3 separate regions of the Mus musculus genome follow, and all the other regions are reported to be linked to region 3. Evidence: microRNA targets listed by miRTarBase, many of them from high-throughput screens and not tested one by one. Region 3 holds a microRNA gene; each other region holds the end of a gene's coding sequence.
The links. The annotated mature microRNA mmu-miR-881-3p reads AACUGUGUCUUUUCUGAAUAGA and lies in region 3 at 1,107-1,128, shown strand. An mRNA with a match to its seed (bases 2 to 7 or 8) in the 3' UTR can be bound and repressed. Matches are read on the target gene's strand: a 7mer-m8 pairs with bases 2 to 8, a 7mer-A1 pairs with bases 2 to 7 and ends in A, and an 8mer does both.

Region 1 (3,264 bases), not on the chromosome of region 3:
CTTCAAATAACAACATTCTAAGCAAACAGGGACTGATTTTAGTTTGCAAAATGAAACAAGTTTGTTATGTGGTACATAGAGACAATCTCTTCCCATTAATAAAATTAACTGAAGAATACTTGAATTTCAGAATCAAAGACAAATGAGTTTACAGAGAAGACACACACGTACTCACACACTCTTTTATGTTTTTGATATTTTAGTTTTTGACCTTTTGTTGTTATTGTTAAAGTTCCTGAAACTTTGGCTTGCTGGTGGCTACTGCTTTTTGCATCAAAAAGACAGGAGTGGGTTGGGAGGAGGCAGGCCATTTCAGACCAGTCCATGCCCTGGGCCAGTTATCACTGGGAACTGTCTTATTTACATAGTCATGTGCAGCCCTGGGAAGCTCATTTTCTCTACTTAAAAATACTTTGTACTTTCTAGTACTGGTCTCTTAGCCTGTTGTGCACAATATGTAGATCAATTAAAATAAAGAACAAATAATTTAAAATGAATTAAAATGTTCTTATAAAAATCCAACTCCGGTAAACTTCTCTACTTCTCTATTAGTAAATAATCACAACTTTGACTCATCTATTTACAGCGGTTAAAATGACGGTAGAAAAGAACCTGATATGCAAACAACCCAACAAATTAAACAGCTGAGGCTCCACACAGAGTCAAGCAGTGTGTTAGGTACTTAGTACTTTTCAACTTTTTAAAACTCTCGACTATCGATATTCATAAAACTATACCTTTAAGAAAGGACCCAATTCTTCCAGTGAGGTACCATGGAACATGGGTTTAATGGACAATATATAATGCAAATTAAGCAATTTGTAAATTGCCGAATGTTCAGAGAACAGACATGAAACGAATGTTTTTTCACTTTCTACAGATTCAGAAATTTTAAAAAATGATTATAGTTTAAAAACATTTTTATCTTGATCAGTTCTCTTTATCACATATATTTAATCCTTACTATGCTATTTAAAGTAAACTTTGATGTAAACTTTGATATCCAGTAGTGCACATTATAAAATGTAAACAAAAGAATTATTAATGAAAGAGACAGGGGCAAGCGGCAGGCTGAGAAGTGAGGATGACCTACAGGGACTTAACTTCTCACACAGAGCAGGAAAAAGCCCGAGTCGCAGGAATCTGTGCCCTGCCTGCACGTAAGGACAGTGACCCAGTACAGACGTCCACAGGAGACAGTGTGTGAAGTTCACACCCCCACTCCCCTTCCCTTCCCGGCTTCCTTTGTGGCTTTAGCAATCACAGCCCCTGACTGCAGTACAGGCTGCATCCTCTCTAGGCTGTCATGCTACTGCAAGAACCAATCACTCAGTGTCTGCTGCCCTCCAATGCACACCACTCTTGGTTACAGAAAAAACTTCATGACTGACTGCTGTCAACATTTCCTTTTTGCTTTTAGTATGTCAAAGGGATATGTACAGGAGCGTGATGTTTTCTACGGGAGATATTTTGTAGCTCATCAGACTAGACTCTTGGATAACTGGACAAGAGAGCCCTGCAGCTCTCCATGCGGCAGCAGTGTGTGCACTGAGATTAAACTGGCTCATCACCTGAGTGTACTGGAACTGTGAGCGAATGGAGGGCAGTTTTAAAAGGGAGCTGAGCACTTTACTGAAATGATAAAACACTGCTGTTTTAGCAATTTTAATTAAATAATGCAAGGGTACATTTGGTTAAACATTTTATAAAATTTCAAGCAAAATTAAAAACTTAGCCAATTTCGACTTTTCTACAAATTTAACCAGTAACTGTGTTGGTCAGGTCTACTTTTAGCTGAACTGATGTGAACAGGACACAGGACAGGGACGGATTCTCCTCACCACAATGCAGGTTCTCTCACTCTTCCACTCTGCATGGCTACTACATGGAAACTCCCCGAAGATGAGCGACTCAGCTATGCGCCACACTTTTCCATGAAAAGTGACACATCACCTTGTTTTGCTTTGGAAAACATAGGAACTGAACACAGTATGTGATGATGAGAGTAGAAGAGGATCCCGCACGCACACGAGCTGTGTGTGTGTGCTCTGATTACTGAAAGCCCACCATTCGGCAGAGTCTAGCGAGAAGGGACAGCTTGCTGCTTTTTCACTAAGACTGATAAGCAGTCTGTTTGAGAGAGGGTGAGTGCAGACAGCTGCTCACAATGCAGTCCAGATACAAAGTGACCTTTGTGGACTTACAACTTCTGGTTTATTGCCTCTCCCCACGTCGGATCAAACACTGATGGCAGATACAACGGCACAAAGTCTTTTGGCATATGAAAGTTTAATACAGGAATGATCCACAGAATAGTCCTCCAGGACTTGTCAACATCTTCTGGATGTTCATCTGTCAGCGTGACCCCACTCAGTTCTCCGTTCGTCAATGCACAGCCAGCACACACTCTATGCTCCGGTTTGCACGCATGGGGAGTCTTCTCAGTTAAAGCCGTGTGACTGAGGTAAAACAGTGCATGATTGTGCTGGGAAAGAAGTTCTCAGCAAAGTGCGTCCCTTTTACGTTATCTTCCCCAAATACATCAGTGATATCAACAAGGAAACTTCTTTTTCCTTCTGGTTGAAGCTGGACTTACTGAGTTCTAGTTGTCAGAACTGGTACCACTTCTTATCTTTGTATTTCAGCATCATCTAAAAGAGGCAAAAAACCAAAACCATCAAGAAAACTATGTTTTCAAAATTCCAAAAACTATTTATATCTGCTGTCTATAAAGCATACCATTCTGGAGCATTCTGAATTAACATTATACCTTGCTTACTTCACTTTATTTAAAGTAGCATGAATTGTTCTATTTAGTTAAAAACGGCTATATTCATCAAAAAATTATTAGAAGGTGCTCAAGTTTCTGATACACACTGTAATTTCTATTTCATATGTGACAAAGTTTAGTGCCTTAACAAATAACTTAGGAATAAGGCATTTGCCAGGTTTTTAGTTAGAACTAAAAGTAATGTTTTGAAGCTAGAGAAAGGAAGGCCAGAAAAGCCACTGCATCTCAGGTTTACTGAGCCCTTGCTGTAAGCCAGACACCAATGTTCCTCACTGCACTTCAACTGCTCTGTACAAGCCTTGGGTCTGCATCATCTCCTCCTCAGTTTATAATAAACCCCGAGGCTTCTGGATTTTTCACAAGGTTGACAGAATGGTGAATCTAGGTTCGGGCCTGGCAATCTGAATTCCAGAGTCCATGAACACACCTCAATGCCCCATCCTCAGACTCTCCGGTGTGACGAAGCCTACATC
Region 2 (3,264 bases), not on the chromosome of region 3:
ATGTGGTTGCTGGGATTTGAACTCAGGACCTTTGGAAGAGCAATCAGTGCTCTTAACCACTGAGCCATCTCTCTAGCCCGGAACATTTGTTTTTAAGTTGAAAATGGTCCACTCCTCATAGGTATTAAACATTTTATTTAAAGATTTTAATGTAAAAAAAATTATACAAATACAGATTACATTATAGTGAACAAGGCAGTGTTCTACATGATAAAAATTAAAACAATTTTCTAAATAAGTACTGGCAACAGGGACACAGATAACTAGACACCCATCCAGCTGCATGTGATAAACCGATCTGATCACAAGCTTATGCAACATAAGTGGTGTCTAAGACACCAAGCGCCCATCCCTCTGCCTGTCTCCCCGGAGACTCTGAGAGAAGGAGGCTTCCACCACATACAGAGAGTTTGCATGGCACTTAAGGACTGAAAACTAGAACTGAATTAAAATCATCTGTAATAATTCTGTATAAAACACACATAGTAAGTCTTATTAGTTAACAACAATAAGAAAAAAAAAAGATTTAAAAACAAAGACCACCATTAATTATGGTTAAAACCTTATCACAGAAAACTGTTCATCATTTAAATGTTATTGGCAGAAAATGTACAGGTTTTGTTGTGGGTGAGGGTAGGGAAGACATACAACTTGAATTTACTCATCTAAGTTTGTTGACAAATGCATGATAATTCACTGGTTATCCTTTCTTAAAATGTTTTTCACAAAAAAACACAGACTCACACTCCAATAAGAAATATGGCCACAAGAAAAAGAATAACCTGAAGAAAAAGTTTCTCAAAATGGAATACAAAGCCCCAAAGAGTCCCAGGCAGGCTGGACACTGTGCACTTCAACAGCTCTCAGTCTAAAATGCCCCAAGGGAGAGCACCACTTAGGTCACAGCATACACACCCCCGAGCTCCTAGCAGCTTAGGGCGTGAATGCTGCCTTTAGATTAAGACAGCTGTTCCAGGTCTTAGGGGAAACACACACTTCAACATGAAATGTGTCAGCGCACGCACTGCACTTATTGGTCTGCTCCCTCGCATTTATGTCCTGCAGGGGAGGGCTGCGCGCGCCATGGCCACCAGCCCGTGGGCTGCAGGCATCATCAGGTCTTCAGGTTTTGGCAAGTGGCCTCGATGGCCCCTTGTTGGCTTTATCAATGGGGGTTCTCACTGCTCTCTGTCTTACATTACTTGAAAATGCATGACACAAACTTGACACAACTCACACTTCTAATGAAACGTAGCATTCTCCAAGTGATTTTCAAATGCCTACAGGTTTTAAATCATCACAAGCTCAGCACTGCGCGGCGTTCCTAAAGTTAAATTTACTGATTTGACAACTGTAGCTTATTTAGACGATCATTTTAAAGTCCTTTATATAAAAATATTTAAAATAAACAGCAGAATGGTGCTTAAAACGGTACTTCTTTAAATAAGAGATTGCTAAATACTACTTACTGTTAATAAAAATAGTGTAGAGAACTGAGGAACCCTGCCCTGAAATGGATTTCACTCTGTATCACATGTTAGCTATGACATAGGAGCTCAGGAAGAGCTGGAACTGTGTGTGTGTGTGTGTGTTACATAGTTATCCGTGGTCATCATCATTGGTCTTGAATTTCACCGCAGACTCCACGAAAGGTCAAAGTACAGATAATGTACTCTGGAGAAGGAACCAAAAGTAGTTAAGACATTCTACTCAGAAGATAATTTATTTTCCCATATACTAAATAATAATAAAAATATATTCACTCCGCTTCCCCTGAATAAACGGAATGCTTTTCTAAGCTGGCTAAGAAGTGAGAGCCTCCTCATTATTTACATCAAATCTTAAACACCAACTGTAGGATTTACTCTACAGTAAGAAAGAAAATGCTACAATCGTTCTTTCTGTAGCTACTTTAGACGTCTACTTTTTCCTGTATGTGAGCAGCTGCCACTCTCGAATCCTGCCTCTGAACACACATCAGCATGCTAGTTTTCACTGAAAAGGCAAGCTCAGAAGCTAACCCCTTAGTGTAAAAATAATTTTAAAAAATTAAAAACAAATAAATAAATCACTGTGCCAGTTTTTGAAACACAGCTAATAATTTAGAACCCAATTCATAATTATTAATTACCCAAAGTAATGAGAAGATTTATTTATAGGAGGAAATCTTAAACTGAGGGACCTCGGCAACCAGTAACACTAGCAGATGCACTACTCTGCATGGCCCTCCACTGCGCAATTAAGCCTTCAATGACTTAACACAAAGTGACAACAACTGTGGGAGACTGATGATGTCATCCCGTCGAGTGTCACAACGCAGCAGAGGCTTTCTTTGACAAGCTGTGTTGTTTCCTTTACACAAAGACCGTCCTTCCTCATTAGGAGTGTCTGGAGAGCAAGCATAAGCAGGGTCGACATGATTGTCAGGAAGCTAGCTTCTGTTTCTTAGTTCTATTTATCTGTATGATTCCTAGTCTCCAACAGGATACCGAGAGCGACTTCTGCAGGGGCAACATAAAATGCTAACTGTGAGCAGGCTGACGGGTGGATATCCATGCACTGAATGGCGGCAAGCAGAATCAGACACACTCTTCTGCAGACATCAAGAGGGGGTTGATATACTCAAAACCTTCAAATTCAGACTGATCAATCTTCCTCACAATGTCACTGTTGAAAGAAAAACACAAATATTTATCATAATCAAGATATCTTCATCTTTCAAACTGAAATACAACTGAAAACATAAGGCTAAATGACATTACTGTGGAAAAATGAGTTCTTAATCACAAAGTGGGTTCTAGAAGAATCAGGAAAAACAATAGCCTCACAAGAAGACTAAGAGCCCTACAAGCAACCAACCTTATAACCGAGAGGGTCCAGAATCAGACTGAGGGTTTTTAAAAGGCAGAAATGCAAAGCACAGAGCTACAGACAGCATGGCCCCTCATGCAGGAAAGTCTTAAGAGAAAGCAGTTATCTGATAAATTGTGTGTGTGTACACGTGTGCACACGCACATATATATGCAAGTACATCTGTGTACACACACTTGTAGAGTCTTCCTTGATCACTCTCCACCTCACTCGAGGGTACCGAACTCCATCGCATCCCGAGTACTGGCATTACAGGCATGCACCATCACACGTGGCTTTACACAGCTGCTGGAGATCTGAGCTCAGGTCCTCATGCTTACATGGCAAGCATCTGCCCATCTCCCAAACCCCACTGTCTGCTAAATCTCATACAGTGTGAGCTAACCACACCTA
Region 3 (3,264 bases):
AGTGATAAACCTAGAAGTATGTTTCCTAGTTTATCCCATGCTCCTTAAAGTTTAAAATCAGAATAACTTATTCATTATACATTAATGTTCTTGTTTGTATGGGAGCAAAGTGTTGTTCCAGATTGAGTAAAATGCAACCAACTCTTTTAAGAGCAAGCTTCACCAAGTGTATTACTTTATTAAACTTCTGGATATTGACCTTTGGATAGCTCCTAATTTCTTTGGCTGGTCTTTAATAATCTTAAGTAGTCCTGTGATATTTCTAGTTCATAGGGTTTATTAATGATGACTTTATTTCTATTCTTTGTTCAGTTGACTCACATGTATTAGACAACATAAAAATACTTTACTTATAAAAATTGGAAATGAAATAAACATGCATTATTGGTCATTCGATTCAACGAAGTAAGTAACAATATAGGATCAAAGGCTTTCATTTGTTATGCATGATGAATGACCATATCGTAAGCACAATTAAATATGTTAGGAATAAATTAATTCAGGGTTCAGGAGTCACACAGGACTGATAAATGTTCTAGTGATATAATAATAACAAGAATCATCACCTTCAAATACAGCAAAGTTGTTCTCTTTGCAGTGCCTATATGTCAGTGTCCTTTATGCATAGTTTAAGTCTTAGAAAATAGCATCCTATGTCATGGATGACCACAAATTGAACCCAGTCTATTCAGAATCATCATCATGCAAACTTAATATAGTGGTATATTACAAGATAGAGGAAAGAGGCATTGTGATTATTTTGATTCCTATTCTTAATCATTAATTGTCTTAGATTATAAAAAAAAGGACAGGATTAAGTATATACCCTATAAAAAATAAAAATTAGTTAAAGATTATATTATTGATTCTCCAAAACATCTAGTTTGTAAGAATGTATGTCAGAAGGCCTGTGGTTGTCATAAATATGATTGGGAATGAGATTTTAGAATATGTGGTCACATTAACATTCATATTAACAATCTGAGTGTGGTATAATATGAAATATGCTGGTGTTTGGGACAGGCTGATGCTATTCCTCATACTCAATGAACAAATTGTGTGCAGTACAATATTCAGAGAGATAACAGTCACATCTTTTCTAAAGTAACTGTGTCTTTTCTGAATAGAGTAATGTTCACCAAAAACAGCCTTAGTGATATACTCACTGAAGATCACAGGAGGCACTGTATCATAACACATCCTCAAGATTGATACGGCGGTAACTTCAATCGTCATTGGGGATCATCTTAATATACAAAGATGCAATCTGTTTATTTTTCTGGATAGTATAACTATTCACTGAAAAGGAAAGTTAGTTACAGGACATGCTTTATGTAAAAGCGTGGTGAAGGAGAGTGATTAATTATTCTCAAAAGTAGATGGACAAATTATGTCAAAGGATAGTTATCATGTTTTTTTTTAATTTAGTCTCTGATAAAAGCTGAAGTGTATGATAGAGGCTTCTTATACAGCAAGTTAATGAAAAGAGTGTTGTGTGCAATGCTTTATCTAGTTGGATGTCAAGACACGTGAAACTTAAGTGCATGACACCACACTGGGTAGAGGAGGGCTCACAGTGTTCCTCATTTGTTGTGGGCTTGGGTGGTCACAGTGCTGATAAATGAATGCTGCTGTTAGTTTGGCTGCACAGAAATAGAACCATGCATATTGTGTTTCTAGGTGTATTTATATTGTTACCTTTACATAAGGAATGTTGTGTTAGTGTCAGAAAGAATCTCTTTAAGTCAGACAAGAAAAAATAAAGTACATTAACACAGTTCCCAGTACATGAATACATTTATAAAACCTCCACTCTTTATTTTGACAGTCATTTCCCTTAGAAGAAGGCAAGTAAAAGGATTTATGGTATGAGAAACACATACTAAAGGTGTTTGATAATATGATTTTAAGCCTAAATTACAGAAGAGTTCAAACATTGTGGTTTGATGACTATGTAATAAAATGGGCAGGAGATGAAGGAAGCTTTTGTGACAGTGTCTACTTAAATACAATTATGCTCATTTTTATATTAACATTGGTACTGATGAGATGAAGTCCTTATGACCATGGATTTTCTTAAAGGAAGGTTCAGCAAGTAACTCATATAATGGCCTCTGTATGTAACCAAGGTAACTTGAAGTTCCTATTTATAGAGGAATTTTTGATATCTGATGGCTTAAATTCTCTTTAACATTCTTTGGACAGTCTGTTCTTAATCTTATGAACCTCATGTTAAATAATGTAAAGAAAGGTGCTAACATAAGGTACTTTTATTAGTGCATACATGTATAAAGTTAAATACTATAGATCATAGAATATGAAGAGTTGTGAAAGATAAAGTGCAGTATAGTCCTTTTAAACCTATGAATAAATAAGGTATTGTTGATGTATCTAACTATATTTATATAATTGCTGGAATATACTGAAGATTGTGGGATCAAGCTGAGACACAGGACATCACTGAACAAACTGTGTGCACTGCAATACTCAGATTGATATGAGTCACTTCCTATTGCATGTTACTCCATCCTCTCTGAGTAGAGTAAGGCACACCAATCACCAGTTTTGGTACCTGTAAATGTCTCATGTATGGATATGGTGAGGTTGATACATGCATGCATATTAGATGTGTTTTCCAGTCTTCAGCTTCAATGTATTACACTTCACCTTAGATAGCTTGGATGAGTGAACAGACTACAGAAGGATAAAAAATGATCTTTTTGGGAAATACTACGGTTCAGAGAAAATGGCAGTCAGCTAACTTTCATGCTAGTGAAAACCATTCTTCTGAAGCTGGAGGAATGTTAAAAAGATAGGTTCTTGATGGAATCCATGATGATGCATGAACAAATTAGACTAGCATTTAGTTATCATGTGAGTTGGTAACTTGATGCAAGCTAAAGATAAAAAGGGGATTGTAGAGGCTAGATTTCAACATTTCAACATTTACATATAATGTATGCTGCTTTAGCTAATTTTCTGTGCACCCTGGGAAACATAAAAGATGATATCCCATATTGGGTAAGGCAATATTTAATGAAGATTTCATTTGTGTACTCACCTTATGAATATATACAAGTATGTAAGCATAAAAGTGCAAAACATTTAGTTTATTCTTCATATGAATTAATAAAATGAATTTAATTTTACAGATACAGTGTTGGCAATCATCTACGCAAACTACAGGTCACTGTATCTACCATATATTGTTCTTATATGGATATTTAAAACAGAGTTGTGATACTCATTTCTTCCCTACTCCCT

Region 1: miRTarBase lists Stxbp5 as a target of mmu-miR-881-3p. Seed matches in the 3' UTR shown: 7mer-m8 at 1,769-1,775.
Region 2: the mRNA of Prkci is a reported target of mmu-miR-881-3p. Seed matches in the 3' UTR shown: 7mer-m8 at 1,572-1,578.

What each region holds. Positions count from the first base shown.
Region 1 is chr10:9,758,304-9,761,567 of GRCm38, forward strand. It overlaps Stxbp5 (syntaxin binding protein 5 (tomosyn)), which reads right to left. Exons shown (of 26, transcript NM_001081344.2): 26 at 1-2,651. The coding sequence ends at 2,610. Among named protein-coding and RNA genes, the nearest start is that of Gm31471, 61 kb to the left of the region's middle.
Region 2 is chr3:31,049,593-31,052,856 of GRCm38, reverse strand. It overlaps Prkci (protein kinase C, iota), which reads right to left. Exons shown (of 18, transcript NM_008857.3): 18 at 117-2,667. The coding sequence ends at 2,580. Among named protein-coding and RNA genes, the nearest start is that of Gm33641, 8.3 kb to the left of the region's middle.
Region 3 is chrX:66,799,818-66,803,081 of GRCm38, reverse strand. Mir881 (microRNA 881) reads left to right here and starts at 1,061; the gene lies at 1,061-1,138. It overlaps Mir880 (microRNA 880), which reads left to right and starts at 2,475; the gene lies at 2,475-2,552. Mir878 (microRNA 878) reads left to right here and starts at 1,497; the gene lies at 1,497-1,574.